Mytilus edulis: one gene and its partners. The protein of the gene in region 3 binds, or shares a complex with, the protein of the main gene of each other region. Links are inferred from orthologs where the notes say so. Each region holds a gene or a part of one and is shown on either strand. Other genes may lie near its edges. The genes, in order: pre-mRNA-splicing factor ATP-dependent RNA helicase DHX16-like, probable small nuclear ribonucleoprotein Sm D1, armadillo repeat-containing protein 7-like and small nuclear ribonucleoprotein G-like.

Region 1 (7,232 bases), on a different chromosome or scaffold from region 3:
CAAACTCAAAACAGCTTTTAACTTTGATTTTTGAAACAAATGACACAAAAAGACATTTACGCAGCCTTCCTAATGTTATTAAAACCATCTTGAAGGTAATAATAACCCCATTAAAAAAAATTACAAAAATTTTACAAAAAATAGTTTTCTGTTGAAGGACTGGGCATGGTTTCTGCTAATTATTGAAGGCTTGTATATGTATTTGTGTTTAGTTGCTGCTTGAAATATCTTACATTTTTCTTCAATTTAAAGGCAGATTGATTCGAGAGGGGGATTTGTTGTTTGAGAACTTTATAGCTTTTTCCAAATGACAGAACAGCAATAAAAGCATCATTTATGTGCTAAAAAATTGTCTGCATAATAAAACACTTATTTACAAGTTAATAGCAAGTTTATTGTTCTCATACCCATAGCCAGAAAAAAAGTGTATACTGTTGATTTGTAATGTTTATACAAATTGTACATGTTTGTTTTTTAGTTTTCTGTATCAGCTTAAAAATTTGCATTTAGGAATGGAAGTGTAATTTTTTGGTTTGACTAGACTCCTACCTATCTGGATTTGCATCACTTTCATCTGAAGATTCCTGCTTCTTACGTAAATGCTTCTGTCTTTTTTCTGCCTTCCGTCTCTGAAAGAAATTAATGTGTTTCTAGCATTGCTCAAACTTCAGCTTGAAAAGTAATAAAATTATAACATATTGTATTTACACCTGTAAACAAACATATGTTGACATCTAGTCGATTTCATTTGGTTTGTGTTTGTTTAGTTGCTGTCTCATAGCTTGCCCAAATGTTTTTACTGTGGATTCATTATTATTCATTGGATACAAGTTTTCATGGATTTCATTGGTACAGGTGAACCACGAAATCAAATGTTCAACGAATGACAAATTTTCTGTTGGCTTGTATGCAGACGTTGGCAAAACCACGAAATTAAATATCCACAATTATACATTTTTTTCTTAATCAATGAAAATAGGTACCCACGAAAATAAATGAATCCACAGTATTCATGATTCTGTAAACTAATTCAAATCTTAATGTACACCACCCTTTTCTATATATATTTTTAGGATAGAGTTGTCTACCTTTGGCTGGACAGAATATTCATCCTCCTCACTTCCAGACGATACAAGTTTATAACTCTGGTTCTTCTTTTGTAGCTCTAATGATTGCCTTTCTAAAACTCTTCCTACTTTTTCTGTTACAGCTTTTCTTGGTGCCTGAAAATATTGATTAAGAACTTATCCTTTTTTTCGCCTTTGGACATTTTGTAGAACATATCTACATATATTAAATACACAATAGTACTCCAAGCAATAACACACAGACTACATAGTATTTGGGTTTTTTTTAAGGATTTTTGAATAGATACATGTTTTTTGTGTAATATATTACAAAGTCTTGACCTGTTGGAGAATAATATTTCAGCATTAATCATGTCAATGGCAATTGCATTTAAAAAAAAAAACAGGTGAAAGATTAATCTTTTTTATATCCAAACACATTATTGTTTCAGATTATCATTAATCAGCAAAAACTTCATAAATACCTATATGTGAATAATAATATCAATCAAAATATTTATTTGTTTGTTTGTTTGAATATATAAAACTAAACGCTATTCAATAATAAAATTCAATTTATACTTGAAGATAAGGTCAACAACGTCCTGGGATAAAGGAGTCAACAATGCAAGACATGACATCCATGCTGTGTCAGCCATACCATGAAAAGACAACAGAGCCATACTTTGATAAGACACACCATCAATAGCTTTTTTTCGCAAATAAATTTTATTTAAATTCTAAAAAGTATTGTGATATATACAAGTAGATGGTAAATTATATATGCTGTATTTACATTATTTGTTATGTTTTTTATATGCAATTCACTTAGAATACACATTATATATATATATATAGCATATAATATATAAATGTGAATTATTTATAGCAACTAGCTACAGTGTATCTGCCATATGTATTAAGGGAAGCTGTCCAATCACGCTTTCTAAACCTCAGGAGTCATCATATCATTATGACTCTTATAACAAAATATACTAGCTAAATATTCTATCTAACTACTGTGGTGTCACGGAATAGAAGTTCCTGCATAATATAAGTTCCAAAAGGAAAAAATATTCTGGAATATTATTTCCACAAGAATAAAAATCACAGTATATGTTCCTAACGGAATAAATTGTTTAGAATCTTTGTTCCAACAGGAATAGATATTATGACAATGTTTATAACAAAGTTTCCATTGGAACTTCTGCTAGGCGGAACAAATATATGTTGACAGAGGGATTCTTTAATTGGGCACCAATTATAACCCAGGAGAACATGATTTTGTTGGCAAAGTCACATAGTCTCCTCCTGGACTTGAGCCCTGAAAATCTGTGGTGTGTGGCAACATTTGGGGCAAACCCGTTACAGATTAGAGTCTGTAGAATCATGCTCTACAGTTAAACTAAAAAGTATGGACAATGTGTTATTTGTAGGTTTTGCTTTATGGTCGATGCATCCTATGGACGTCATGATTCATGGAAGTGTCACTGTGGGGCTGTCTTGTCTCGAAAGCATCGCAGAGGGGCATTTTAAAAAAAAGTACATTCGAATGAAACCTATGCTATAGGTGTCCAACAAAGCCTTGGAATAATTCTATCTACAAGACTATTTAAGTTACCCTTTCCCATAACTCCTTCGCAAATTGGATAACTTGTGGATTAATGTCAACTGCTTCAGTTTCTCTGAGGTTATCAATGAATCCATCTGAGCTTGTTGCTTTTTTACACAAACCAATCAAATATTGTGAGATGTATTTGTCCGATATTCCTAAGATGTCATGCAGTTTGTCGCTGACCCATGTATCAAGGGATGACATTGCTAACTACGAATGTCTTCGATGAATATTATGAGAAATCATGAACTTTATTTGTTTGTACTGGAGGCTGACATATTGAAAACGATTCCACACGTTTTCGTGACGTTTTGTGCATGACAAGGGACGTAACTGCAAATTTTAAGGGGGTAACACGAATTACCGAATAACAGTGTTATTATCCGAATAACTCATGTAATTACCGAATAACTCTTCAAATATCAATATTAACACATTTAAGTGACTTTTAAACATATATTATTGAATAAAATTATAATAGAAGTGTATTTTATAACCTAAAAATAAAAAAAAAGTTGCAGGTAAGTTAATATTGATCATTATAAAATTATGGATATCGGTGTGTACTTCCAAGATGGCGACCAAGGAAAACGTAAGAAATGAAGAAAAGAAAGATTGCATACAATCCCTCAACGTGTTCATCTTAGACCACCAAAGTGGAGCCCTCACGCCACGTCACGGCAATGAACAATGTGAGGGTGGGCATTTTTTAAAATAAAATATGGAATAGTAAACTATTTAAATTAGTTTTTGTTTTAATTTTAGTTATTAAAAAAATATTATCTTTATCATATTTTTATATTTGTGATTTAGAAATGGATGTTAACTAAGCCTTTAAATCTATAAAATTACAACTATTAAGATATCCTGCACAAAGCACGGGCTTATCTGTCATAGTCCGCGGAAATACTTTATTTAGAATTAATTGTAAAAAAATTATAACTACTAAGATATCCTGCACAAGGCACGGGCTTATCTGTCATAGTCCGCGGAAATAATTTATTTAGAATTTATTGTAAAAAAATTATAACTACTAAGATATCCTGCACAAGGCACGGGCTTATCTGTCATAGTCCGCGGAAATACTTTATTTAGAATTTATTGTAAAAAATTTATAACTACTAAGATATCCTGCACAAGGCACGGGCTTATCTGTCATAGTCCGCGGAAATAATTTATTTAGAATTTATTGTAAAAAATTTATAACTACTAAGATATCCTGCACAAGGCACGGGCTTATCTGTCATAGTCCGCGGAAATACTTTATTTAGAATTTATTGTAAAAAATTTATAACTACTAAGATATCCTGCACAAGGCACGGGCTTATCTGTCATAGTCCGCGGAAATACTTTATTTAGAATTTATTGTAAAAAATTTATAACTACTAAGATATCCTGCACAAGGCACGGGCTTATCTGTCATAGTCCGCGGAAATACTTTATTTAGAATTTATTGTAAAAAATTTATAACTACTAAGATATCCTGCACAAGGCACGGGCTTATCTGTCATAGTCCGCGGAAATACTTTATTTAGAATTTCAACCTGAAAACATGCGAAACAATACTGAACTATTTTCTCAATGACTCCACGTGCAATGTATTTTGTTTAAGAAGAGGGTTTTTTTTAACATCGAATGACTAAAATAATCCAAAAGTTCTTACATATTTTATAATTTACAAATTCGAATTTGCCAGAAGAAAGCTTTTTTTAACAGGAAAACCCAAATTAACTTTATTAAAATATCTTTTTTTAATAATTTTTTATTTTAAATAATCAAAAATTATTGGTGAAACATTGAACATTATTACCCTTTGACAGAAAACTAACATAGGATGTACATATTGTATATAGTTGTAAATATTTATTTGTGTTCTATTTTTCATTATTATAATTATTGGTGTTGGTAATGCAGCCTTGGTATACCAAGACAGTCACAAGCCTGTTTAATGCAGAGTGTCCATACTGTAATATAATTTCATTATCTCTTAATGATTAATTATGTAATGGGCACGTGTCAGTAAACAACAACCCAATTAACAATCTAACAGAAGTGTGAGGTAATGATTATTTTGTTTATTGGAACTAATTAACTCATTATCACTTTCAAATTATTCAATGTATGAAAATAAATAAAAGTAGCAATAAAAAAAACGTAAATACTAATTTTAGAAGAATATTAATTGAGTATTATTTTATTATTTTTAATTCTGATTTTTTAGTAATTTAAATTAAGTAAATTAAATACATTTTAAATGAAATAAGAAATAAATGAAATATAATAAACTAGGTGAAAGGTTGTCTTCTTTGAAATTAAATATTTTATTTTATTTTTCTTGTACCATGTTTCACTCTCTATTAATAATATAAAAAACCCAATTTCGCATTTGTATAGCTTATAATAAAAGGTATGTATGAAAATTACTTACCTTTCTAACGCCTTGGCCATGTCATACTTGTTGTCTGTAAAGCAACAGTCCTTACAAAGGAACTTTAGAGACACATCTGACCAGGCCAATAACAATGCATCATCCATTGGGACACAAGCACTGTGAACCCAACGATCACAACAACTGCATTGAATGGTGCAATCAACACATTCTTCATCACATTGAACACACGGATATAAAGCCATTTTGAAAATGGAAGACAGCACACATGTATTCATGGCTTTTTATACAAAATTAAAGTGACTTGTAAAAACATTTATATTTGCCAATGAAAATCTTATATTTAGTTTTGAGAAAATTTTATTAGAATAAACATAAAAATCATCCATTCAGAAGCTTTGTTTTTATTAAAACAATCAATTATAATAATTTTTTTTATTAGATTTGAATTGAATATGTGAAAATTCTTAATTACATTTTATTTAATGTTGAGTAAATTGTTATGAAAAGTAATTAGTGATTGGAGTAACTGCATTGCTTTGATGTACTGGTTAAATTTTCAAATCCTTTCTGAAAAACAATTATTAGACAATTCTCTGTATATACAGTAAATTATTTAATACTATATTTTCATAGCGTTTTCCTTTGAAGGCATATATGCAATCTTTCTTTTCTTCATTTCTTACGTTTTCCTTGGTCGCCATCTTGGAAGTACACACCGATATCCATAATTTTATAATGATCAATATTAACTTACCTGCAACTTTTTTTTTATTTTTAGGTTATAAAATACACTTCTATTATAATTTTATTCAATAATATATGCTTAAAAGTCACTCAAATGTGTTAATATTGATATTTGAAGAGTTATTCGGTAATTACATGAGTTATTCGGATAATAACACTGTTATTCGGTAATTCGAGGTACCGAATTTTAAGGTGGGTTTGATTTATTTTTCCAACATTCAGAAATTAAAATAATTTGGATTTGATTAAATGTAATATGCCATTTAAACCTAAATGAGACTATAGTTATATTCAAACACATTTTTTTTCCTTAAATATAAATTCGCCGAAAGAAAGTGTACAATATTTTTTACAACATTTCAGTTGGTAGTCAGACATTCCTTAAATTGTGAAAAGAGCTCGCGCATGGTGACTGGTTAGTATATATATTGAAAATAGAAATTAGTCTACAGTGAATGTTGTCATCCTTGAAATGACCAATGAATAACTTGCTGTGAGTGTGAATTTTTGTAAAATATAAGTTGAATTTTTAAACAATTCCTCGGTCATCACTCAACAGAGCGACAAAGTCTACTTCAGTACTTGTCAGTAGGATAAATGTGTCCCCCTTTTCCGCAGTTTAAAATTCGGCCTTTAAAAATTTTTTTGACGTCTTGAAAGGCTAATTTATTTTGTCTCTTACGACATCACAACATTGAAATCCTTTGTTTTCCTCATGACAATTACAGAAAATTGCTTTGAAATATTTACTGACGGTAGGCCTAGTGTCACCTATATTCGTGGACATAAGGCTATTCAAACAAAATGCGGTTAAACTATTCAAACAAAATGCGGTTAAACTTTTTGTTGATAATGTTACCTTAGAACTTCATTAAAATAATAAATTAGTTTGATTCTTTCCGTTAGCTAGTTTATTTGATATGACCTACATTTCTAGTGTACACAAATTGGCATATGATGCCAAGTACATGTACGTCACCTATTTTCGTGGAAAAAGTTCATTCTAAAAATAACACAAGAAGAACAATCAGTATGGAAGCCCAGTGGTGAGCATATAATTGTAATTTCATTCAAGCAGGGCTATCTTGAAATTGAAGTAAGTAGAAGGCTCAATTAAAATTATAGGCGGCTGTAACATGTGTCCGGCGAAGCCGGACGCCCACCAAGCTGTAAGCTTGGTGCCTTACGGCAGGGGGTCTGGGGCCGCTCAAGCCAGAAGCTCTGGCATATATATATTTAGAGAAAAATCCTGCATTCTCGCTATCTCCTGGCACCTAATTTCATTTTTCAAATGACCATTTTTTATGTATGAAATTAAAGAAAGAAAAAAAAATCTCAAATTTTTTTTTTTTATGTTCATGTTATAGTTTTTTATTTTCATTACCTTATGCTTAAAATTCATTTACTTTTAAAG
Region 2 (7,743 bases), on a different chromosome or scaffold from region 3:
GAAAAAATTTCACAAAAGAATAGTGTTTCTTCATGTCTGCATGTTATCAGGAATATTATAACAAAAGAATAAAAGAAAGTTACAACATAATTTTTTGCTGTTGGTCAAAAAACAATATATAGCTGTAGATTTCCTTTCTACTTTCACTTTGTCTTTGATTTTACACATAAAAGAGTTTATCGTCTTCCTCTTGGTGGCCCTCGTCCACGACCTCTCATTCCACCACCACCACCACCTCTACCGCCACGACCACCACGTCCTCCTCTACCTCCTCGGCCACCTGAAATAAAAATATAATTTGAGTCAAATGTGACAGCATTACAATGTTCAAAACCATATTGTAACAAGGTAGCAAATAATCAAGAGAGCCAATTGAAAAAGCATTAAGTTCACAAACCACATTGTAGATTTCACAAAATTAATTAACCTTCTATCTAATTTCAATGATCCTGTTTTGACGCTTATTGGAAAACTCTTTATATTAACCTTATAATGTATTATAACAATCCCAATTTCAATTTTTTATAATTCGATGATAACAAACGTTTTTTTTATTTACAGGTATATTTTAATAACTTTGTGGGAATTGCAAACCATATCAAAACTTTTACCACCATGACAACTGCTAGTATGATTTCTACCATACTAATAAATAATAATTGTCACTGTCTGAAAAGTGTTTCAACCTCACTGTTATTATTAATAATAGTACTAATGTATTTCATAAAAAGAAACTAGTACAAGAGTTTTTTTGTGTGTTTGTACGATTTTCAACTATTTATTTGTGACTTTCAGAGATATTAATTTGTAAGTTGCTGTCTATTGACCATTTTCCCTATTTAATGGTGAAAGTGATGGACCTAAAAAACATAAAATGTTGATTACTTACCCCTATCCCTTCCACCTCTAAATCCACCACGTCCTTTAGGTGTGTCGTCAATCAATAATGTGTCAAGTGGCAAACTGTCAGGTAAGATGTAATATCGGATATTGTTACCACGGATACTAAGTGTGTCCAGCTGTACTGGGTCTTTGTTTTTAACTGTCATCTTTACAGATTTCAAATGGGTATTCATACTGACATCAACCCCTACAAATATAATCATCTTTCAATGTTAAAATTCATTTATATAATTGTGCATTGTTTTTTTAGTCATAAAGGAATTTTATATAAGCTTTATTCGATGTGACTATTGTTCGTATTATGAATAAGACCAAATTAAATAATATGTATTTGATATTCAATAAACTAATAGTATATAAACACAAGCTCTACTGTCTCAGGTTTTAAATCCAGTGAATAACAAAATATATACATTTGTACACACATACAGTCATTAAAAGAGCACAATTTTAAACATAAGATACCATAAATGACATATAAAAGTTAAAAGCATAGTATGCAAAATGGGTTTATAACCAGTTATCTTTTTAGTGAAATCTGACAACTCAATATCCGACTAAAACATTAACCAAAATACAGTACAATTTGTAACTTGCTCTGAATAATGGTCTCCATCTGCAAAAAAAATAGGTACAGTGCTGTTGCAAAGTATCCAAGGCAGGGATTTTTTATCGAAGTTTTGCAATTAGACAATACCTGTTACTGTTCCATGGACCTGTGTTCCATTCTTTAGTTCAATAGTGACTGTCTCGTGGGACAATTTCATCAAAAATCTGTAAAACAAAATCAAAATTGTCAAGACTCATGATCATCTCACAAATTAAAGCTCTACTTTATTTTGCGAAATGTTTTACATGTTTGGCTTTTCAAATTTATATAACAGTATGTACCTGATGTCAGCTTATTTAATTCCAGTAACATTGGTCAATATATGTTGGTACCCAATACCAATTTTATGAGTATTTTCCCCAACCTGTATTATAAAAAAGTCAATGAAGTCTGCAAGGCAAATACAGAACATACGTCTTCAATTCTATTCCCAGAAACTCAAAGGATGGATGTCAGAATCATGCATAGCTAAACATGTAGACCTCCCCCGTTTTTGCTCTTGATAAAGTACATGCAATTCCCTTTGTTTTGTTTTAATAGTATTTGATTTGCCTATACCATGTTTACCAAATGTCAAAATGCCGAAATCGATGGGTCACTGTGAAAACTGTCTAATAATGAGAAAATAAAGGTTGGCAGGTAAGTGAAACTTACATAAATGAAGAGATAAATGAAAAATGAACAGATTGATGCCCGATTTATATAATTCCAAGGCCGTCAGTCAGCACCAGAAGCGACGAAGCAGCGCATCTATTTTGGGTGGGAAAATATCCACTTTTTGATATGGGACGAGCTCTGACGTCCCACGGCCCCAGCTTGTCTGGCAAAACAGCCGTTGGACGTCAGAGTAATCTCGGACTACTTGTGTTATATAAAGGTATATACGAGTGCCTGTGCTTGGAGGGCTCCGGATCAGGAAAAGGATTCAAAATCAGATACATGTATATATCTTGTACATTGAATTAACTTGTAAATTGTTTGTCAATCAAGACAAGATTGAAGCAACAAAAATGGGGGAAGAAGCGCCTCTGTCAAATATATTTTTCTCGTATCATAGCTGAAAACAGGTTTAAAAATATGCAAACATTCTAGACTGAAGAGGTGAATTTATGCATCTAATGGAAAGGGCTTCCAGTGCAGAAAATACTGCGTTCCGTCATATCAGAAACTATGTCACAGAGGGATGAATTCCATATAAATTGTTCAATATATTTGATAAAGACTTAGCGTGGGGCACTCGTCATTTTAATTGGAGTTTTCTTAATGAATGTTTGCAACAATCCACAAAATAACGATATTATTGCACCTTCCCTTCATTCATCTATATAAATTCCAATTATTGGAATTGCTATTACCTCACAAGCTTCATGATTACATGGATTTGTATACCATGTACAGGAAAAAATATTAATAATGGCGGCAACCGGCTCGTCTTGTTTACGTATGAACTAAACGCTTGACCGAGTGCCTATTTTGGTCTTGAGATAAAACATAACAACGACCTGCTGAAAGTTTTTAGCGACTGGTACTAAATGGTTTTCCCTTCCTGTTACCCTTTTGGGCAAAATATTAGCTTTTTAAAAAAGCCGACAAGATTGAATTAATTACTATCCATTTCTTGTTTCTCTTACCATTGTAAGGATTGATGTAAATATATAATAACGAACTAATCAATCATCACTCACACATTAAAGGAGTCGATTGGAGTTTATGATTTTACAATTGGCCTATTCAGAGACCAATGTGTTTGGCATAATTTAACAGCGACATATATAAGAAAGGGGACAATAAGGGGTCCGTTAACATGTTAACTACATCTCAATTTTGGCAAAAACAGTTAACAACAAAACAACAAATTCAAAAATGTTGATTAACACAGTGGGTTGAAAACAGTTAACAGTTTAAATTCATTTCAGATAACAGTTTTAAAACAACACCTTGAAAAAGGCCAAAACAGGTTTATAAATATCAAAAGGTTACATGATAACCCCCCCCCCCCCCCCTCTTGATAACATTATTTAAATTTTCAATTCATGAAACTTGGTACTTTAAATTATAGAATCAGCTGTCATAACATTCCAGACTAGTGGAGACAAATTGAACTGAACAGTTTACAAAAAATATTGTTAGCCTTGAAATACTGTCAAATAGAAAATAAAAGAATACAAAAAAATACTCCAAAAAAGAAACAGAAAAAACGGTCATTGTCTTATGTGTATTATTTTGTTTCAAATCCTGATTCTACAATTACCATAACAAAAAGATTATTTCTTCCATTGGGGACTCACTCCATTGTCTTAGATGTCTATATGGTGGTTCTCGTTCTCAGTTTAGTCTACTGGTGTCAGTAATACATAAAGAGAAGACAAGAAAAGAAAAGAGAACAAAAGAGAAGAGAACAAAAGAAAAGAAAAGAAAAGAAAAGAAAGGGAAAAAAATATGAGTCACTGCCCTAGTTTCTCAGGCTAAGTGATAACTCGCGGTACCTTAATTTTTAGGTATCAGGATTTGGGCTTGCTAGATCAAATCTCCTAAAACTCCTAAAATGATCTAAGATCATATAAATATGTGCTGTTCTTTCGTTGGTATCTTTTGTTGTTTGTGACAGAGGTGTTTTCACATCCGTGTCTGGGTGTTCAATGTGTTCAACTGTTTAATAATTTCTTTTCTTCCTGTTAGTATCAATGCATGTCTTGGTTAATTAAGTCACAAGTTTTGCAATATGTAGTGTTAGGGATTGATCTATTTGATGGCGATATTTATTTATCCTATCATAGTCCATTATTAGTTCAGAATAAGATAATGATATAATAATAGAAAAAATAAAGGATTTGGGGTATCCATCCATGACACAAAATCAGTATAGCAAATAAACAGCGCTCTTGTTGCTGTTTTCATCTCAAAGTCACACCGAGGCCTTCAACTAGAAGCATCATATACCCCTCTCACCTCACTGCGGCAAGTTTTTTTTTGTTTTATTTTCAACTTCAGATACTTTAAATTTATTTCACTAATAGTTGTTAACAGGGCTTCTTAATGTTACAACAATCGCACTAAGGTTCTTCCCGCTGTATCGTTAACTTGATGCGGCAAGTTTATAACGGTCCCTAGTACCAGTCTGAGCGGAATGATACATAGCAGACATACCCCTGGTATATTGGTACTTCTCCGGCTTAATAGCTGTTGAAATGTGAATGTTGCTTCATGTATGATGTATTCCTATACATTATATATATGTGTATTAATATGGACTGCAAGTGTATATGAACCTCTATATATACATCACATTAAACGGGGTAAACAGTGTCAACCATGTCGAATTCAAATGCTGCATGGCGTCCAGATATTTCTGAAGGCTATTATTGTCTTTTGAACTTCTTTTGCAGGACGTAAAATGGTATACTGTTGTCCGTATGTCCGTCAGTTCTTAGTCAGAATATGGGTCAATAACTCAAAACCGCTTTAAATAACCAATTTTCATGAAACTTTATATCCATTGACGTAATCTTCCATTCGATTTTAATCATTTTAGATTTTATGTTCCCAAGTAAAGGGATTTTATTCGCAAAAAAGGTGATTTTCCAGTTTTCGGACAACAACTGAAAAAAGCTTCGAACAGTTTTCATAAAACTTTGGTGACTGGTTTATATTTATCAAGAAATGCTCCCTTTATGTTTTTTTTATTTTATTATAAATTTCTTTTATGACATTGAGGAGAAATAGAACTGTATTCGTTGAAACACCGTAAGTAACAGTGGCAGATCCAGAACTTTTATAAAAGGGGGGGGGTAAGTAAATTTTATTTAGAGTCGGGCATGATATAAACAATTCAACAAGGTAAACATGAGCTCTGTAGAGCTATTTACCGACAGGCGACGTATCATCATGCGCACATGAATGGCGCAGTTCTTTATTTATTATTTGGAATTACCTGGCCTTTACATGATCTATATGATGCAACTACCTAAGGAGAGCAGTTATAGCATATAGCAGGAATAAATGGAAAACTCGACTTTTATTTAAGGTACTTCTAAAAATTCGCAGTTGCGATCTAATTAAAATATCGATATCTGATTACGTTAAACTACATATGAGAATCGTAATCAGAGATCTATATTTTACTGATTAAATTGTCGATGTTGCTTATTTTAAGAAAGAAAGTGTATTTTCAGATTGGAAGCTGACTACCCACTTCATATCTTTTCATCTTTTGACAGCAATTAACAGTCGCATTTGCTAATTAAACACGAGATTGTCAGGGACGTGGCTATATACAAAGCTTTGGAAAAGCCGAACTTTTAAATCTAGTCCCATGTGTTCATCATTACAAGAGTTCATCTGCTAAGTAATGAATTTAGCCAGCGCTCACATGATCTTTCCTTGCTAAGTAATATGCCAGGGTTGAGTTCAATATCGTAGCAGCTACGTAGCGGCTACGTATATATGTAGCTGCATGCTATCAATATATATGTAGCAGCTAGTCTATAGCTACACATTCAATAATCAAAATATACTACGTAGCAGCTACGATATTGAACGCGGCCCATGGTATTTGATTATCTATAAAATATCGTTGGATTTCAGTTGCCGGATGATGATAACATGCGTGAAATGCTCCGTGTAGTACTGTCACCAAGAGGTACCTCAATATCACGTAAACTTTAATTCTCCATGCACTGGTATGGCTTTTACATTTAGTTCTGAGAATTGCAGATACTTTAGATTGACTTTAGTATTGGTAGTTTAAAAGTCATCACAAATAAAGCCTAATAAGTTGAAATAAACTACAAACGCTATTGATAAAAAGAAAAGAAAACTAGAATTGCCATTGCAAGCAATAGCGGATGTCACCCTTCCCCTATTGCCACTAAGCGGCAACCATTTGAAAACAATTTAACAGTGAATGCAGATCAACGCATTGCGATATATCTTTCTGTAAATTTTCAGTACATTTTGAGCATTGTCAAAAGTTTCACATTTCTTCTGTTTCCATGGCAACGGCAGCCATTTTGAAAATTCCGAAGTCAAAAGTCTCATTTATACATGCCAGTTGACAATAATATTAAGTTTCATTAAGTTTGGAGCATTTTGAAAATATTTGACATTTCTGCAGTTTCCATGGCAACGGTGGCCATTTTGGAAATTCCAACTTCAAAAGTCTCATGTAGACTTGACAGTCAACAAATATAGTAAGTTTCATCAATTTTGGAGCATTTTGAAATTTTTGAAAATTTTGACATTTTGGCTGGTTTCTATGGTAACAGATACCATTCCAAATTTCTAATGGCAAATACCACATTGGTACATGGGAGGGAACATATATATACCATCAAAGTTTCAATGGATTTGACCTACCATTTTAAGAAAGTAAATGCCACTTTAAGGTTTTTGAAGCATTTTCACCATTTTTGACTTGTTTCCATGGTAACGGCAGACATTTTTGAAATTCCAACGCCAAATTGCACATCTTCCAATGTCGCTCATCGTTACTGTGGAGTTTTATTAAATTTGGAGCATTTTGATATTTTGGAAATTTTTGGTGTAGTTTCCATGGCAACATGATAGTTCCAATGATTGCCAAAATCATCTAAAACCAGTATATGCCCGACACCTACATTGTATCAAAATATATTGATTCTAAGTTAAAGCAACTCCAAATAATTCATTAAAACCAAAAACTGGAATTTCAGTTTCACAATTGTTCCGTTTCCATGGTAACGGCAGCCATTTTTATGGTCTTAAGACCTACTGCAACCTGGAATTTTGTGTTCCTCATTATAGTTAACTATCATTAAGATTGGTTCCATTTGCTCCGAGAAAACTGCCGGACAAAATAGATGGAATAATAATAATAACTAGATTTGTAATTGCTAGCAATAACGGATGGCACCCTCGTCCCCCTATTGCCAGGCGAGCGGCAGCCATTTTGAAAATTTCAAAGTCAAAGAGTGCATCTACACATGCAAGTCATCATTTTTGCAAAATTTCATTAAGTTTGAAGCATTTTGAAAATTTTGATATTTTTGCTGTTTCCATGGTTACGGCGGCCATTTTGGAAATTTCAACTTCAAAATGGAACTCCGCACATGTCAGTCACTATTCCTGTAAAGTTTCATCCAGTTTGCAGCACTTAATTTTTTTTGGAAATTTTGAACATTTGTGCTGCAACCATGGTTACAGTAGATAATTCCAAAATTCTAAAAGCGTACGTCTCATTGCCACATGTCATG
Region 3 (6,927 bases):
GCAGGAGGCAATAAAAGCAAAAAAATAAAATAGACTTTCAATATAAAAAAGAAGATGTGGTATGATTGCCAATTAGACAACTCTCCACAAGAGCCCAACACAGAAATTAACAACTACAGGTCACCTAACGGCCTTCAACTATGAGCAAAGCCCATACCGCATAGTCAGCTATAAAATGCCCCGAAATTACAATGTAAAATAATTCAAACAATAAAAATAACAGCCTAATTTATGTAAAAATTGAACAAAAAACAAATATGCAAAACATGGTTGCAACACATTTCAAGACTTCATAAACTTTTAAACTAAAAGTAGTCCAAATAATTATAACGTCTTGCAAGGCTTTTTAAAGGAAGGCGTCCAAGAAAAAAATAAAATAGAATTGCAAGATGTCATTATTATTTGGAGTAGACTAGAAGCTGATCTGACAGATCTATAGCAGATAGCACATGCCTGATAGTGATAGTGAAACTCTGTGATATGGGGACATAGTCCCCTATTTCAGTAGAAAATTAAAAAAAAAAAAAAAAAAAAAAAAAAATCGCAAATTTTTCATTGCACAAAGAACTCAAAATCGTTCAAAATTTTTGTTGTCGCGTTTTTGAAGGAGTAGGGGCATTAAGGCCTGGTTTTGGCCCAAGAAAATAAAATTTTTGATAACTTTTTCAAATTGGCACATAATCTTTAGAATTGCATAGGGTCAAGAAACATAAATGAAAAACATTAAGATTCTTATGTGATGACGTCACAATTACGTCATAATATGTACTGTTTTCACAAAAATGATGAAAATTCAGAATTTATGCAGTTTTTCATCTTTATTTCTGTTGTGGAAACATTGTGCGCAGCCAAGAAACAACAAAATAATTTAACTGAAGCTTTATTACTATTGACAAAATCTCACCAAATATAAAGTTGTTTCTTGGGTGCGCACATACTTTTCCAATCGAAAATATACTTAAAAATTTGATGAAAAACAAGGAAAATCACAAAATTTTACAAAATATGCAAATTAAGGCATGACTTGTTGCCATGATAACTTGTTCAATGTCCAAAACTATTTTGTTTTTCTGAATTCCTTCTACCTGAGATACTTTTCAGTAATTTAAAAATATGTATGATAACTTTTAAATTTGCAGTAAATTTTGGGCCAAATAAGGGCCTTATTGCCCCTACTCCTTTGCGGATCTGCGCAGAAATCTACTTCCGTTTCTGGTCTTGTTTGCATGAGACTTTGAATAAAATGTATATTTATCAGTCTAAGAAAGGAACTCAATACTAATTCATTTCTAAAAATTGTTTTTTTATAAAAAAGAACGTTATCTGATGACAGCGTTTCTTTGTTTACATTGAATATGACATCATAACTTAAATAACATCACAACTAAAATCCCTAACAACAGAACCAAAATCGGAAACGTTGCAGTATTTCTGTTTCTCTTTTTAACATGTTTGATTTAAAAAACATGAATACAGACTTCGTCCCCATTTACAGGTAATGCTAGTCAAAATAATTATGATGTCTGGCAAGGCTATTTTAACGTCATAATTAATATGAGGCAGGCATTACCTGTGAATGGGGACGAAGTTTGTTTAAATTAATTTTTTTGTAACTTAAATATTTGTTACAAAAAGAAACGGAAATACCGTAACGTTTCCGATTTTGGTTCTGTTGTTAGGGATTTTACTTGTGACGTTATTTAAGTTATGACGTCATGTTCAATGTAAACAAAGAAATGCAATGCATCAGGTAACGTTTATTCATACCAATTTGAAAGACAAAGAATGATTAAAAATGAAATATTGGTATTGTGTTCATTGAGTTCCTATATTTTACTAGACTAATCAAAGTCTCACGACAACAAGACCGGAAAAAGGAAGTAGAGTTATGTGTTCTGCGCAAATCCGGAAATTAAAAAACGCGACAAAAAAAAATTGAACGATTTTGAGTTCATTAGTACAATGAAAAATTCGGGAAATTTTCCCGATTTTTTTTTTCTTTTTTTTTTCTATTGAATTTTCTACTGTAATAGTGGACTTCGTCCTCGTGTTACATGACGTCTGGCAATGCTATTTAAATTTTTTTCTGGGACGCCTTCATACGTCTAGCAAGGCTATTTTAATTTTTTTCTGGGACGCCTTCCTAGCCTTGCCAGACGTCATAATTATTTGGATTAAGGTAAAATTAATTATTATCACTTCTTATTTAGATAATTTTAGATTTTAAAATTGCCTATTGCGTATAGTATAAATTGATATTTGTGTATATAATATTCCAGTGGATGGAACCATTATTTGTGTGATATGTACCGATTATCAGGTTATCTGCATGTTGATATCGTAAAATATCAGCTGCGAGACATAATATGAAGCTTTTTGTCGAGTGAGCGTAGCCTTCATATAATGTCAAGCAGCTGATATTTTACAATATAAATATGCAGATAATCTGATAATCGATTTATCGGGCTATATTTGCGTGTTTCGGAAGTGTTTTCTTTGTTTCACCAGCACACAAAAGATGACTTGATAAGTTCGGGTCAAAGTTATTAATGTCGGTTCAAACATTATGACGTCGCTGATATGTCCGGGTCAAAGTTATTAAGGCCGAGTCAACGTATTTGACGTCACAAAGACATGATACGGAATAATATTATGAGCTGAACAGAGTGATATTGACAGTGGGACGACCGATAATTATATATATATTCGTGGTGGTGGATGTCACTCCAGCTATAATTGGAGGTGTGCCTTGACTGGCAGTGGCAGAATTTATTATACAGATTACAGAATGCCTGCCTCATAACAAATAATGAAAATAAGGAGATGTGGTATCCACTATTTCAATAACCGAATTCAATAAAGCTTTTGTAAAAAATTTAACCAACAGTTTGTTACAATGTAAAAGATTTTGTTGAAATTTGCCTTTTTCAGATGAATATAGTCTTACTTTTACTTTCTATTTAACCGGAAATAAACATTGGAAATCTGAGTTTACGTAAAGTCCAGAGACTTCCGAAAGTTTTACAAATCACGTGACATATTGTTGACAAACTGAAAGGACCCAACAAGACGAGCCTTACAAGACTGATAGGAAATTAAATCGAGCTGATAATGAAACGTTGGATGTTGATCTTATGAACAGATATATAAGAATTCCTCTACAACTTAAGTAGCACCATCTGCAAGTAAACACTTCAGTCGACGGAGGAAACAGTCAAACAGCTTCACACAAAAACTGCAATGGCGGAGAAAAGTCCAGCCACTGCTGGTCAGGTGAAGATTGGCCACTACATTCTTGGTGAAACACTAGGAACTGGGACATTTGGAAAGGTCAAAAGTATGTGTTTTTGTTTATTACAGACATTGCCATAAAAAAAGGTCAACCAATGTTATAAATATGGCATACAGAAGGTGAAGGTCATTGACATAATTTGTATACACAGAATTCCTATTAAAAATAACTGGAACCTTGTCTAAATGATAATTAACCTACGAGTTATTCTTAGTTTGTTTCACATCTTTTAAAAAGTTGATATTTGTGAAAGCCATTAGTGCGTTTTGGGGCATCCTCACTTCTTCCCTAATATGAGGCAGGAATTACCTGTGAATGGGGACTAAGTCTATGATTTTTTTTTTATTGAAAAAATTATGCAAAAAAGAAATTCATTGAGGAAAGGCTTAATGTGAAATATGAAAAGGTACATGTAGGACAGAGATTATAATAACTAGAAATAAATAAATAAAAGCAGGACAAGAATTTTTCCACCTACGTGACCTAGCTCCTCCCCCTCCCCCCTAAAAATCAAATGGTAGCTCCCTTACCTGAAGATAAAGCACAAATTTAAAAAAGCCTTTCAACATGTTCAAGATGTCATAATGGTTTGGACTTAACTGCAGCTGTGTCTGACAGTCACTTAACTTCAACTTCATTACTCAGCCAAATCCTTACTGGTCATCTAACACACCTTATGGCTATTTAGTCTGGTCTGGAAAAAAACCAGTCATTTAGACAAATTCCTGTAAGTGTCAAGTGTTTCAAAAACAAAGGAACCTAAGTCCTTTATTTAATGGCAAATTCAAAAGCTTAACCACATCAAACAAATAGAACATAACTGTTACATTCTGGACTTGGTAAAGCCATTTCCATATGTACATGAATGGTAGATTAAATCTGGTTGTATAACTAGCCAAACCTCTCACTTGTATGACATTAAAAATACAATTGTGATTATATTGACAACAATGAATGTACATGTAACAAAATGAGTCGATTTCAGTTGCTTCGCATTCATTGACATTGTAATTTATACCTCATACATTGTACCACACATGATAGTATGCTTTGTTTTCTTTTCAGTTGCGACACATTATATCACCAGTCATAAGGTGGCTGTAAAGATTTTAAACAGAAACAAAATAAAAAGTTTAGATGTTGTGTCTAAGATCAAAAGAGAAATACAAAACCTCAAGCTGTTTAGACATCCACACATTATTAAATTGTAAGTCTCCAACATTGTATGATATTATATTCTTAAATTAACTTTTAATTTTAGAATATATTCATTGTAATTTTTATACATGTATATGTATATACATGTATACCGGTAATCTGAGAATTTGAATGTCAAAAATATTAGAAAAGTATCAGAATTCGAACAAAACATAAATTCACAAAATTCAGTGTTGATTGGTCATCAAGAGTTAAATGTTTAAGGATATTTGTGAATTCTTGGATTATTATTTCTTTTTTATTGTATTGGCTTTTAATGTAAATTCAGTTTACAAATTCTTATATTTAGAACAATTATATCTTTTTCTATGCCTTTTAATTTGTTTTGATGCAAAGTCTTTAACAATGTCCAGAAAACACCTATTGGTGACATGTCAAAAGTCAATTTTTACTTGATTAAAATGATTATACTTCTCTATAACCAATGTAATAAATCTTGTTTAAGTGTATATACATTTGTTTCATACTTTAGTTATCTCCATTTCTTGTTCATGTGTATATACATGTTTTGTATGTATGTGATACATACATGTACTTTAGTTATCTATATTTCTTGTTTCCTCTTTTATCATGTTTATAGAAATCCATTCACTTAATAGAATCCACTCTGACTTGGATGATTCAAATCTGTCTTCTCTGAAAAAGGATATTATATTAATTTGATTTTGTTGCAAGATTTGAAAGTTTGCACATTTTGGATCCATAAATTACAAAATTGTCTTGACTACTTACATATATATATATATATACATTGTAATTATCAATTATGATGACAATATTATATTTTATTTACACATTTCTAAGATAGTAGGTGGAGTTTATTTCACCAAATATGTTACATATATGTACATGTAGTAGATGAATAAGATTTTTTTTTAACTGGAAGCAGAATTTAGAGCATTAAAGTTGGTCAGGATTCTTAATAGTGATCCATTCTTACCTTAGATATAGAAAAAAGTTGTTTGAAATAGCATAATTTTATATGATTGCTGATGTCAACATTGTAATGTTTCCTTTACTGTGTATGGTTAGTCTCTTGATTCAATTTTATCTCTTCAAACTAACTCCACTTCTCTGTTCTTTAATTTGAAAAGACTTAATGTCCATTTTATTTGCTTTGTTGATCTATATTGTTTCACTGAATTTCAGTACATTTTTTGCATTTTGAAATATGTTACAAAAAAATATATATTATTTTTAGATATGATCACTGTTCCTGTCAGCCATCTTGTTTTAATTATTGAGAATATCTTACCATGCTTACAGTTAACTCATCTCTGTACAAAATACCTGAAAAAAATCCAAATAACAATCTATAAGTAACTTCATTGGAATGATTGTGAGTAGTGTAGATTCTCCTTTTCCTGTCTTCACCAAACTTTGGCTCTGTTTTTCAACCTTATTTGATATCAATCAAAGCTCAAGTGTCAAGGTCATCTGGTTACATTATTTAAGAAAAAAATATTTTAGAATTAAAAGGTATATCTATTTTTGGTCTGATTCATGTTTGCCTAGAATATAAAACAAATATTTTAGTCCAGTCTTTGTTGATGTAATGAATTGTTTAGCCAAGTACATGTAAAGTATTTTGAATTTTGATGATGATCATGGTAAAATGTCAAAATTTTGTGGGAAGAAATAGTCCGGTATGTGGGATAATCTTATTGCCATTTTGGGATGCCTTCCAAATACCTATTTATAGATATATTTCTGAAATCTCTGTTTAATTTCTATTAAGAGCAACAATCATAAAAAAAACATGACTTGATAGTTGATACATGTACATGGATTTATTCGGTCAAAATATTTGGTGATATCATTCAACTTAGTTAGCTAGTTTAAAGCAAATACAGAGAAAAATTTCAAAAGTGGGACCATTTAAAAATTAGACATTTGTATATCAGTTGTCTTATCCTGTCTACATGTATATGATAGTCCAATTAAATATTAATTTTACCTAGATGCCTTTGACATTGAGACAATCTTACTTTGATGGAATCGCTTGAATTGTTTTGTGTTGTATTTTATGAGACCATAGAGTCTTAGACTTTAATTTACAGAGAGAATAATAAGAAATTTAGTTAATAAATGTAAGTTTTATATGTATCAATTTTATTCATGTTAATTATACATGTAGATATACATGATATATATGAAATAGACACTTTTTTACATACATGTATTTGTGTACTATGTTTTTCAAGTCGACTTAAAATCCTTTTACATGCCTTTCTTCTTATGTTAAATCTTAATTTTATTCAGGAAAGTTTTCATTTAAAACTTGTAGATAAATTTTTTTATTCAAACACTTTCTTGTCAAATTAGAAAAATACTGATTTGACTCCAATTTTGGTTGTATTTAATTTGATGGTTAATTTTTGTTGCGTAATAAAACCTCAGGTATCAAGTGATGAGTA
Region 4 (7,795 bases), on a different chromosome or scaffold from region 3:
TTCTATTTCATCCCTTCATGATCAGTTAACTACTGATGTATGTCAATGTACATTCAGTAGGTTAGGTATATAAATGCACAGTAAAAGTTGGGAGTCAGAAATAAAAATCTGGTCTCTGACGGAATGCATGATACAGAGATTAGCAATACTCATAAAACCAGAGTTTTTGAGAACCCTGGAGATTACAGACATGTTACAATGGCCAATAAACCTTGATTTATAGCTAGAGGTAGTTATAAACAATTGTATGCAAGCATCAAATTTTTAAGTCATAAATCTTGTTGGCTACTTACAGCAAACTCTCTTTTCCATGAACCTGAAATAAAGGAACATCATATAATTATACATTTACAAGTTTAAATTCTGTGTACAAAGGTATTTGCAAACATCATCAAAAATATGACTGATAAACTGTTTTCATTCAAGACTTGTTTCATACCGAGCAGCTTAAAATTGGACCATCTGTATTTTGGATACCAATTCATCAGCAAGTCTCAGAGGGTGACAAACAGACCAAGAATGCTCAAAACCAATTTATTTTGGTGCATAGTTTAATTCACAGTTAACCCTAGCTGTGGAACCGTAGCTCTTAGGTCCTTATGGTTTTTTTAAACTATTTTGGTAGTGCATACCATATTGGCATAGATTATTTCCATTTGTATTCATTTTCCACCTACATGTATAATGTTCAGCCATTGCCCAGATTGAATCTTCTTGTGATGTCACACAAAACAAGAAAAGATAACTCTCATCACTCAGAGCTCAGACATAAACAAGTCATTTTTATCCCCCCCGACTTACAGTGAGTCAAAAATGCATTTTAATATGATTATTTATGTCTGAGCTCTGACTGCTTATAGTTAAACACGTTGGTTTGTTTTTTTGTATTTTATTTTGTTTTAATGACTTTTAGAATGAAAGACATTTAATTGAAATTTAGTACAACATAATAATAATCCTTCCCATATTGTTAGAATTATTGTTGTAACACTTGATTCTCACTTAGAAATAAGTGAATGAAGTCGGCTTCATATCTTGACTTACATCTAGAAATTGACAATGAGGGTCGGTTGAAAACAAAACTTTACGACAAAAGAGATGATTTCAGCTTTCCAATTGTGAACTTTCCATTTCTAAGTAGCAACATTCCAGCAGCACCTGCATACGGGGTATATACCTCCCAATTGATACGATATTCCCAAGCTTGCATTTCCTATCATGATTTTCTTGAGAGGGTTACTGCTCACAAGGAAGCTATTAAACCAAGAGTTCCAAATGGTGAAGTTGAAATCATCCCTTCATAAATTTTACGGACACCATCACAAGTTGGTTGACCGGTATGGAATAACCATTTCACAAATGATATCAGATATGTTCCTTATGTCGTAACTACAATCCCCTTCCCTTTCATGAATGTGACCTACCGAATTAGACTATTTTCTGGATTTGTAATCACATAAGCAACACGACGGGTGCCACATGTGGAGCAGGATCTGCTTACCCTTCCAGAACACCTGAGATCACCCCTAGTTTTTGGTGGGGTTTGTATTGTTTATTCTTTAGTTTTCTATGTTGTCATGTGTACTATTGTTTTTCTGGGTTTTTTTTCCATTTTTAGCCATGGCGTTGTCAGTTTGTTTTAGATTTATGAGTTTGACTGTCCCTTTGGTATCTTTCATCCCTCTTTTAGAAATAAGATAACCAAACCAACATGTGTTTTCCTTTTTGTGTAGGCGGTCCTCTCTTCCAACATAGGAGATCGAGGATATTATTAGAGTTATCTTTTCTTGTTTATCATTACGTCATGTTTTCAAGTTAAGATTTGTCTGGGTTTTTTTACAAGATGTTTCTGCAATGAAGCCAGTGCGGTCTTGTAGTTGTACCACTTTGGCCATGTAGGCATGTAATAGATAAAATTTACATGTAGTCTCTCATACTTATATACATTGGACTATATATGTGCGGATTTGTGTTATTTAGTTTTAGAAAAAAGTTTAAACGAGGCTTCACTTATTTAGATACTACTGATGCATTTCAAACGTGTTCTTTTGTAAATTTAATGTCTTAATTGAAATAGAAAAGGGAAGTCCCTGGAAACAATAATAAAACTAGGTTAAAAATTTAAACTTTTATCAACACCAGAAAACTGCCATAAAAACAAAAAAATATAACCTCCCTTTTCACGACTTTTACCCAATCTGTAAAGTTTAAGGGTCTTATTATAAATAAGGCTGTGTAAGTGACATGAATAAATGCACTAGTATATAACCCTATGAGTATAGTATCCTAAAAGATCCTTAAAGATCGCCGCTGCAAAGACCGACTCACCATGGCATACAAGATCCGCAATAGATTGGTGGATATTGACCCCTCTAATTATTACAAACCCGGAGATTCAAGGACCAGAGGAGGCCACCGCATACACCAACAGCGCACTCTAAAAGACCAATACAGGTACTCCTTCTTCCCAAGATCAACCAGGGAATGGAACACTCTACCGGAAAAAGCCACAACAGCAGCTACACTAGAAGAGTTCAAGGCCAGCCTTACCATCCTGCCAGAGGCCTTGACAGGAGCTTCACACACCTAGATCTCCTTTGACCCCAGATGTACATAGTTTTATTTGTAAATAATTTTCCTGTAAATAGTTTTTATTAAGTGAGGAGGGAAGGCCTCATGATTTCACGAGCAAGAGTCATTTATACACTCAAGAAGAGTCCGACTCTGTACTGAAAGAAGAAGAAGAAGAAGTGAAAGAAGGCAAATAATTTCTTTTGAAAATTATAGAGGCACAAATCACGAAATGTCTTGTAATTTGGGTCTTTAAATGTCCTGGAAACACATACAAATAATTTCAGTCGTGACTTACTTTTTCAATTCTGGAGGATGAGCCTTACTCATTGTGATTAACAAGGATTATTGTCGGCAGAGCCGGCAAACAACAAAAATAGATAATGGCGGAAAAAGCGTTCCGGAAACGACAGTCGAACGATAAAACACAGAGTCGATACCGGCAATACTATATTTAAGAATTTCCGGATTCTCTCTTTTCACATGCTGAAAATTAAGGATTTATAGTCCATTTGAAAATTACTACAAAGTAGTCTGAATCAGGGAGATATAACAACCTTTATGCCTTATTGCGTACCCTTTTCTGTGACTAATATTCTTTTCAATACATTTAGATTTTGTTTTTAAACTTGTCTTTTTGCGGAAAAAAATACATGTTTTATCACAATCCACATTAATTGACTACGTCATGAAATTTGATGCACAATAAATCAGCGCCATTGGACAAGGAAATTTTGAAGAAAAATCCAAAATATACAATTTTTGCGTAGAAAATTACATCAAAGCAAAAAAAGTGAGCAATACAAAAGTTTCCTTTATTGTGTTATGCACCGGATTGCATAGACATTAATTTGAAAATGAGTTGCCATACACAATAACTTCAACTACAATGACTTATGACGTTTTTGGATGCTGTTTTATTTGTTATAGTGGTTTCTTTTATTTTTTGCATCAACAGTTTCCAGTCGTATAAGGGCACAAATCCTTTTTTATGTCGTAGACGTCATTATAAAAATATCCAGCAGATCATAGTTAGCTCTTTTGGTCCGAATCCATGACAAATCGCCCCACTGGCAAATAGCCCCACACCTAATCGCCCCACTTTTTCACAAACTCGCCCCACTTTCTAAAAAAACGCCCCACTCTTGTTTACCAACTCGCCCCACTTATGAAAAGGGTAAACTCCCATTGCAAATAGTTATGATAACATGCTCCCCTTATGAAAAGGGTTAAAATCCCGCTGAAATACGGTCTGTCAACTTTCAGCCCCACTCATGACAAATAGATAAACCACATATAAAAAAGATGCAATCCCGTTGTATATCTTTGTCCCTGCCCACGTCATTACCTTTAAACACCAAAGTGAAGTGCTATAAAATCAAATTGCTGTTAAAAACTCTGTTTTTGCAATAAAGTTATATATAAATGTTAATCACGCATCAATAGTATGATTATGATACAATTAACAGGTTTCTTTTCAATTGTTATACAAATAACTAAGCTTACAAGTATAAAGTTATTCTCCAATAATGATACAAAAATGTAATTGCAATTATATTTTAAAAATGTTAAAAAAGTTTAATAAATTTCGTTTTTTTTTTTTGTATTCTGTGTAGATTACAAAAATCAAAATAAGTCTTCATTTAAGTGCGGCTAGTTGGTAGACCTGAAAATTACATATATAGAAGTAGATTTTTCCCTTTTTTCAATAAGTGGGGCGAGTTGACAGGGGAAAATTAACTGGATTTAACCCTTTTCACAAGTGAGGCGATTTTTTTTTAAAGTGGGGCGAGTTGGTTAACCAGGTTGGGGCGATTTTTTTGATTTTTTTAATGGTGGGGCGAGTTGGTGAAAAAGTGGGGCGTTTTGCCAGGGGGCGATTTGTCCTGCTTCCTTTGATCCTATGCCAAAAGCCAAATAAATATCAGTGGGTAGAATCCATGAAAAAGGGTACAACTTCACGGTATCAGGTTCGTTCGCGCCCAATACACTTTCGCACCCTACACGTTCGCACCTCGCATGTTCGCACCCAAGGTTCGTTCGCACTTTACACGTTCGCGCCCAATTATAATTCAAATTCCAGTAGAATAATTGGAAAATCATGATTGTTGTTATTAATTGCTTTGGTGTAAGTAAAACATTCAAGATTTTAAATGAAAAACACAAAAGATAATTGTTTTTAACAGCTTGGTCCCTTCGATCTTAAACAATAAAATATAGCAATACACTTTTATAACCATAACATGATAAAAAAATTTCAACACACAAAAAAAAATCGTAGTCAGAATCTCACTTTATTTTGAAACAAGTCAATGAAATAAAGTTATGGCAATACACTAACCAAAACATGATTAAGAGTTATTCAACACAAAATAAAACGTTGACAGAATCCCACTTTATTTAGAAAGGATTATTTATTATTTTTAACAATACACTATCCAAAACATGATAGATATATTCAACACAAAAAAAAAATGCTGTCTCACTTTATTTTGAGACAATGACAACAAATATAAGAATACACTTGCCAAAACTTGATTACAAAGCTACACAAAACCAATTAAAATTGGGCGCGAACATGTAGGGTGCGAAAGTGAAAGGGGGTGAACATGAGTGGGCGCGAACGGACCCGGATTCCAACTTCACTACAAGTCGAATCAGCACCGGTACCTCGAATGACTGAATAACACTAATAATGACTGAATAACACTTGAAATTTAATATTAGCAAATATTGGTGACTTTTAAACATTGATTATTAAATAACAGTATACTGTCGATGCATTTTACCAAATATCATGCAAAATGCTCAAATGTTGAAAACTTTGAATACTAATTAAGTTGAACAAAAAAAATACATACAGAAACCCTCCAAAAATGTCAATGAGTCAATACTGTGAATACAACTTTTTGCTTAAAATACTGAACAAAACATATGTTAAACATATCTTTCATGGGTGCCGAAATGACTATATCAGGTGCTGATTTAACCAGGTGCCAAATTGACTAGGTGCTGATTTGACTGTACTGGAGGCTCCCACAGGGTACCCCCCTCAGGTCGCAAGGTCACTTTTAAATTCGTCGTTAGGTCGCGCAGTCGTTTTTAAGACAAAAGTACAGGTCGCAGGTCGATTTTTCCAACATAGAGGACGCAAGTTGTTTTTATATTTAAAGGATCCATTCAAGTCATTGGTGTGTTATTAAACCAGGGACATATATGTTCTTGGTTAAACCTTTTAGTTTTAAATAAGATATTTGAACATTTTGCCACATGCTTTTGGGTTCAGTTGTTCTTGTTTTGTTTGAGACCATCCAGAGATGGCTGTCTGTAAGTGGGAAGTTCCTGCTCTATTGAAGTTGGTGTCGTCAGCTCTAGATTTAATTTTGTGTAACATTTAATGATCAATATGTGATGTCTTCGTGTCATTAAGGGTATTTATAAACCCATATCCGTTCTTTTCCATATTGAGACCAAAACAGGACTTGAACTTTTCGATTTTTCAAAACAGTAGTTTTAACCAAACATTCAGTATTTCACTAATCCTACACAATATTGTCTTCTTCCACATACTGCCTGCATTCAACTTTCAGAATATACTGGCAAATTGGTTCTGCATGGTTAAAAACAAGATAGGTAGGTCATTTCAGATTTGAAAGTCTCAAATGACTGTGCTGTGTCGATCTCCGGGGGAAGCTTGTTCCAGTCTTTTGTGGTGTTCACACAGAGGGACCATTTCCTGCAGTCGTTGGTTCGTTGCACCATGTATCCATGTAGTTTCTGTTGTGTACGTTTTGATATTCTAGTTTGTCTTTGGAGGTACATGTCTTTGCTGATGGCTACTTTGTCGTTGACGATCTTGTACATCATTGCGAGCCTGACCTCTCTGCGTCAATCTTGGAGGCTCAGACTTTTCCAACCCAATTTGTTCATCATGTCTGGGACACTTGATCTGTTTCTGTGGTGCTTGGTGACGTATCTTGCAGCCCTCATTTGAACTTTTTCAATTTGGTCAATATGATTTTGATGATATGGGTCCAATATGGTTGTGGTGTATTCTAGTTGGGGCGTTACTAGAGTTTTGAATGCTTGCTCTTTGATGGTTATAGCCGATTTGTAGGTTTTGTGGAGGAAATCATGGCTTCTGCTGGCTTTGCTAGTAATGTTGTTGATGTGTTATCCCCAGTCTTACCCCAGGGAAAGTTTTTGACCAAATATTAAAGGGGATTTATCTTGAGTTACTGGACAGGATGATAATTTGTTGCTTCATATTTCATTGTATTTCTGAAAGGATTTCATCTGAATATGAAAGATGGAATTTTGGGCTATAGATATTTTATTTTGAATAATGTTGCATACATTATGCCTCCAAAAATAAACAACATATGGGCATCACTATATTTGTTGTTATTTTCATTGTTTTATTATGATGTATACTAAATGGAAAAATTGCTAAATTTATCGTTTCCATTCTCTAACTTTAGTTTGCCTCAAACAAATATTATAATACTTTGCACAATGATAATTACCACAAAACACAGATCAAGTTTGAAATTTGGAGGCGTCACTTTTATCGTTCTCCTGTTCTGCTTCTTTTGCAAATGGAAAAATTGCAGGATTTTTTGTTTTTGTTTTCTAACTTAGGTTTACCTTAATTAATTGTTATAAAATGTAAACACAATGCTTATTATCACAAAACTCAAATCAAGTACAAATTTGGGTATTATCACTTTTACAGTTCTTGAGTTATGTCCCTTTATAACATTATATGCAAGCAGGGGCACATTCTGCATAATTTATTTATTTAAGATTATTATTGATTTTCTTCAAAATGGATTGGTTAAAATATCTTTGATAATAAGAGTTATTTTCTCTGGAAAAAAACATAACTGATAATATAAGCTGACATTGTAAGCAATGCCTAATTCCTGATATGTTAAAACATGTATGTAGCTTTATAGGTCTCTGATTACCGTAAGAAGTGTATTGACCAAATGGTTAAGCTATCAAATATGAAATATTAAAAGATTTTACTCAGACTTTTGAACTTCAGAATTTTTCATGCCATACTGTTTACATACAACTTGAACATGTTGAAGTTACAGATTCTGCTTGTCATTCTTTCAGATGACAGAAGGTGACCAAACTTACACAGTATTTAATACAGATAACCAACAGACGGTAACAGTAGCCATGCCTGATGACCAACAACAAGCAGGAATTCAAT

What was found.
Region 1: armadillo repeat-containing protein 7-like (region 3) and pre-mRNA-splicing factor ATP-dependent RNA helicase DHX16-like share a complex: the UniProt entries of both Homo sapiens proteins name them as parts of the minor spliceosome. The link is inferred for Mytilus edulis from reciprocal best matches to the Homo sapiens genes ARMC7 and DHX16.
Region 2: armadillo repeat-containing protein 7-like (region 3) and probable small nuclear ribonucleoprotein Sm D1 share a complex: the UniProt entries of both Homo sapiens proteins name them as parts of the minor spliceosome. The link is inferred for Mytilus edulis from reciprocal best matches to the Homo sapiens genes ARMC7 and SNRPD1.
Region 4: armadillo repeat-containing protein 7-like (region 3) and small nuclear ribonucleoprotein G-like share a complex: the UniProt entries of both Homo sapiens proteins name them as parts of the minor spliceosome. The link is inferred for Mytilus edulis from reciprocal best matches to the Homo sapiens genes ARMC7 and SNRPG.

What each region holds. Positions count from the first base shown.
Region 1 is NC_092345.1:3,144,579-3,151,810, reverse strand, and holds the start of pre-mRNA-splicing factor ATP-dependent RNA helicase DHX16-like, read right to left. Parts: upstream 3,020-7,232; 5' UTR 2,887-3,019; coding exon 2,689-2,886; intron 1,224-2,688; coding exon 1,089-1,223; intron 630-1,088; coding exon 550-629; intron 1-549. UniProt on the Homo sapiens protein: Required for pre-mRNA splicing as a component of the spliceosome. Contributes to pre-mRNA splicing after spliceosome formation and prior to the first transesterification reaction.
Region 2 is NC_092348.1:3,032,590-3,040,332, reverse strand, and holds the start of probable small nuclear ribonucleoprotein Sm D1, read right to left. Parts: upstream 3,005-7,743; 5' UTR 2,883-3,004; coding exon 2,869-2,882; intron 1,678-2,868; coding exon 1,601-1,677; intron 1,091-1,600; coding exon 890-1,090; intron 281-889; coding exon 177-280; 3' UTR 1-176. UniProt on the Homo sapiens protein: Plays a role in pre-mRNA splicing as a core component of the spliceosomal U1, U2, U4 and U5 small nuclear ribonucleoproteins (snRNPs), the building blocks of the spliceosome.
Region 3 is NC_092344.1:113,819,638-113,826,564, reverse strand, and holds the start of armadillo repeat-containing protein 7-like, read right to left. Parts: upstream 3,026-6,927; 5' UTR 2,948-3,025; exon of another isoform or gene 2,932-2,947; intron 2,920-2,931; exon of another isoform or gene 2,886-2,919; intron 1-2,885. Other genes in the region: 5'-AMP-activated protein kinase catalytic subunit alpha-2-like, read left to right, coding at 3,241-3,337, 4,358-4,499, 6,911-6,927. UniProt on the Homo sapiens protein: As a component of the minor spliceosome, involved in the splicing of U12-type introns in pre-mRNAs.
Region 4 is NC_092347.1:25,799,514-25,807,308, forward strand, and holds the start of small nuclear ribonucleoprotein G-like, read right to left. Parts: upstream 3,020-7,795; 5' UTR 2,902-3,019; coding exon 2,870-2,901; intron 317-2,869; coding exon 294-316; intron 1-293. Other genes in the region: nuclear transcription factor Y subunit alpha-like, read left to right, coding at 7,696-7,795. UniProt on the Homo sapiens protein: Plays a role in pre-mRNA splicing as a core component of the spliceosomal U1, U2, U4 and U5 small nuclear ribonucleoproteins (snRNPs), the building blocks of the spliceosome.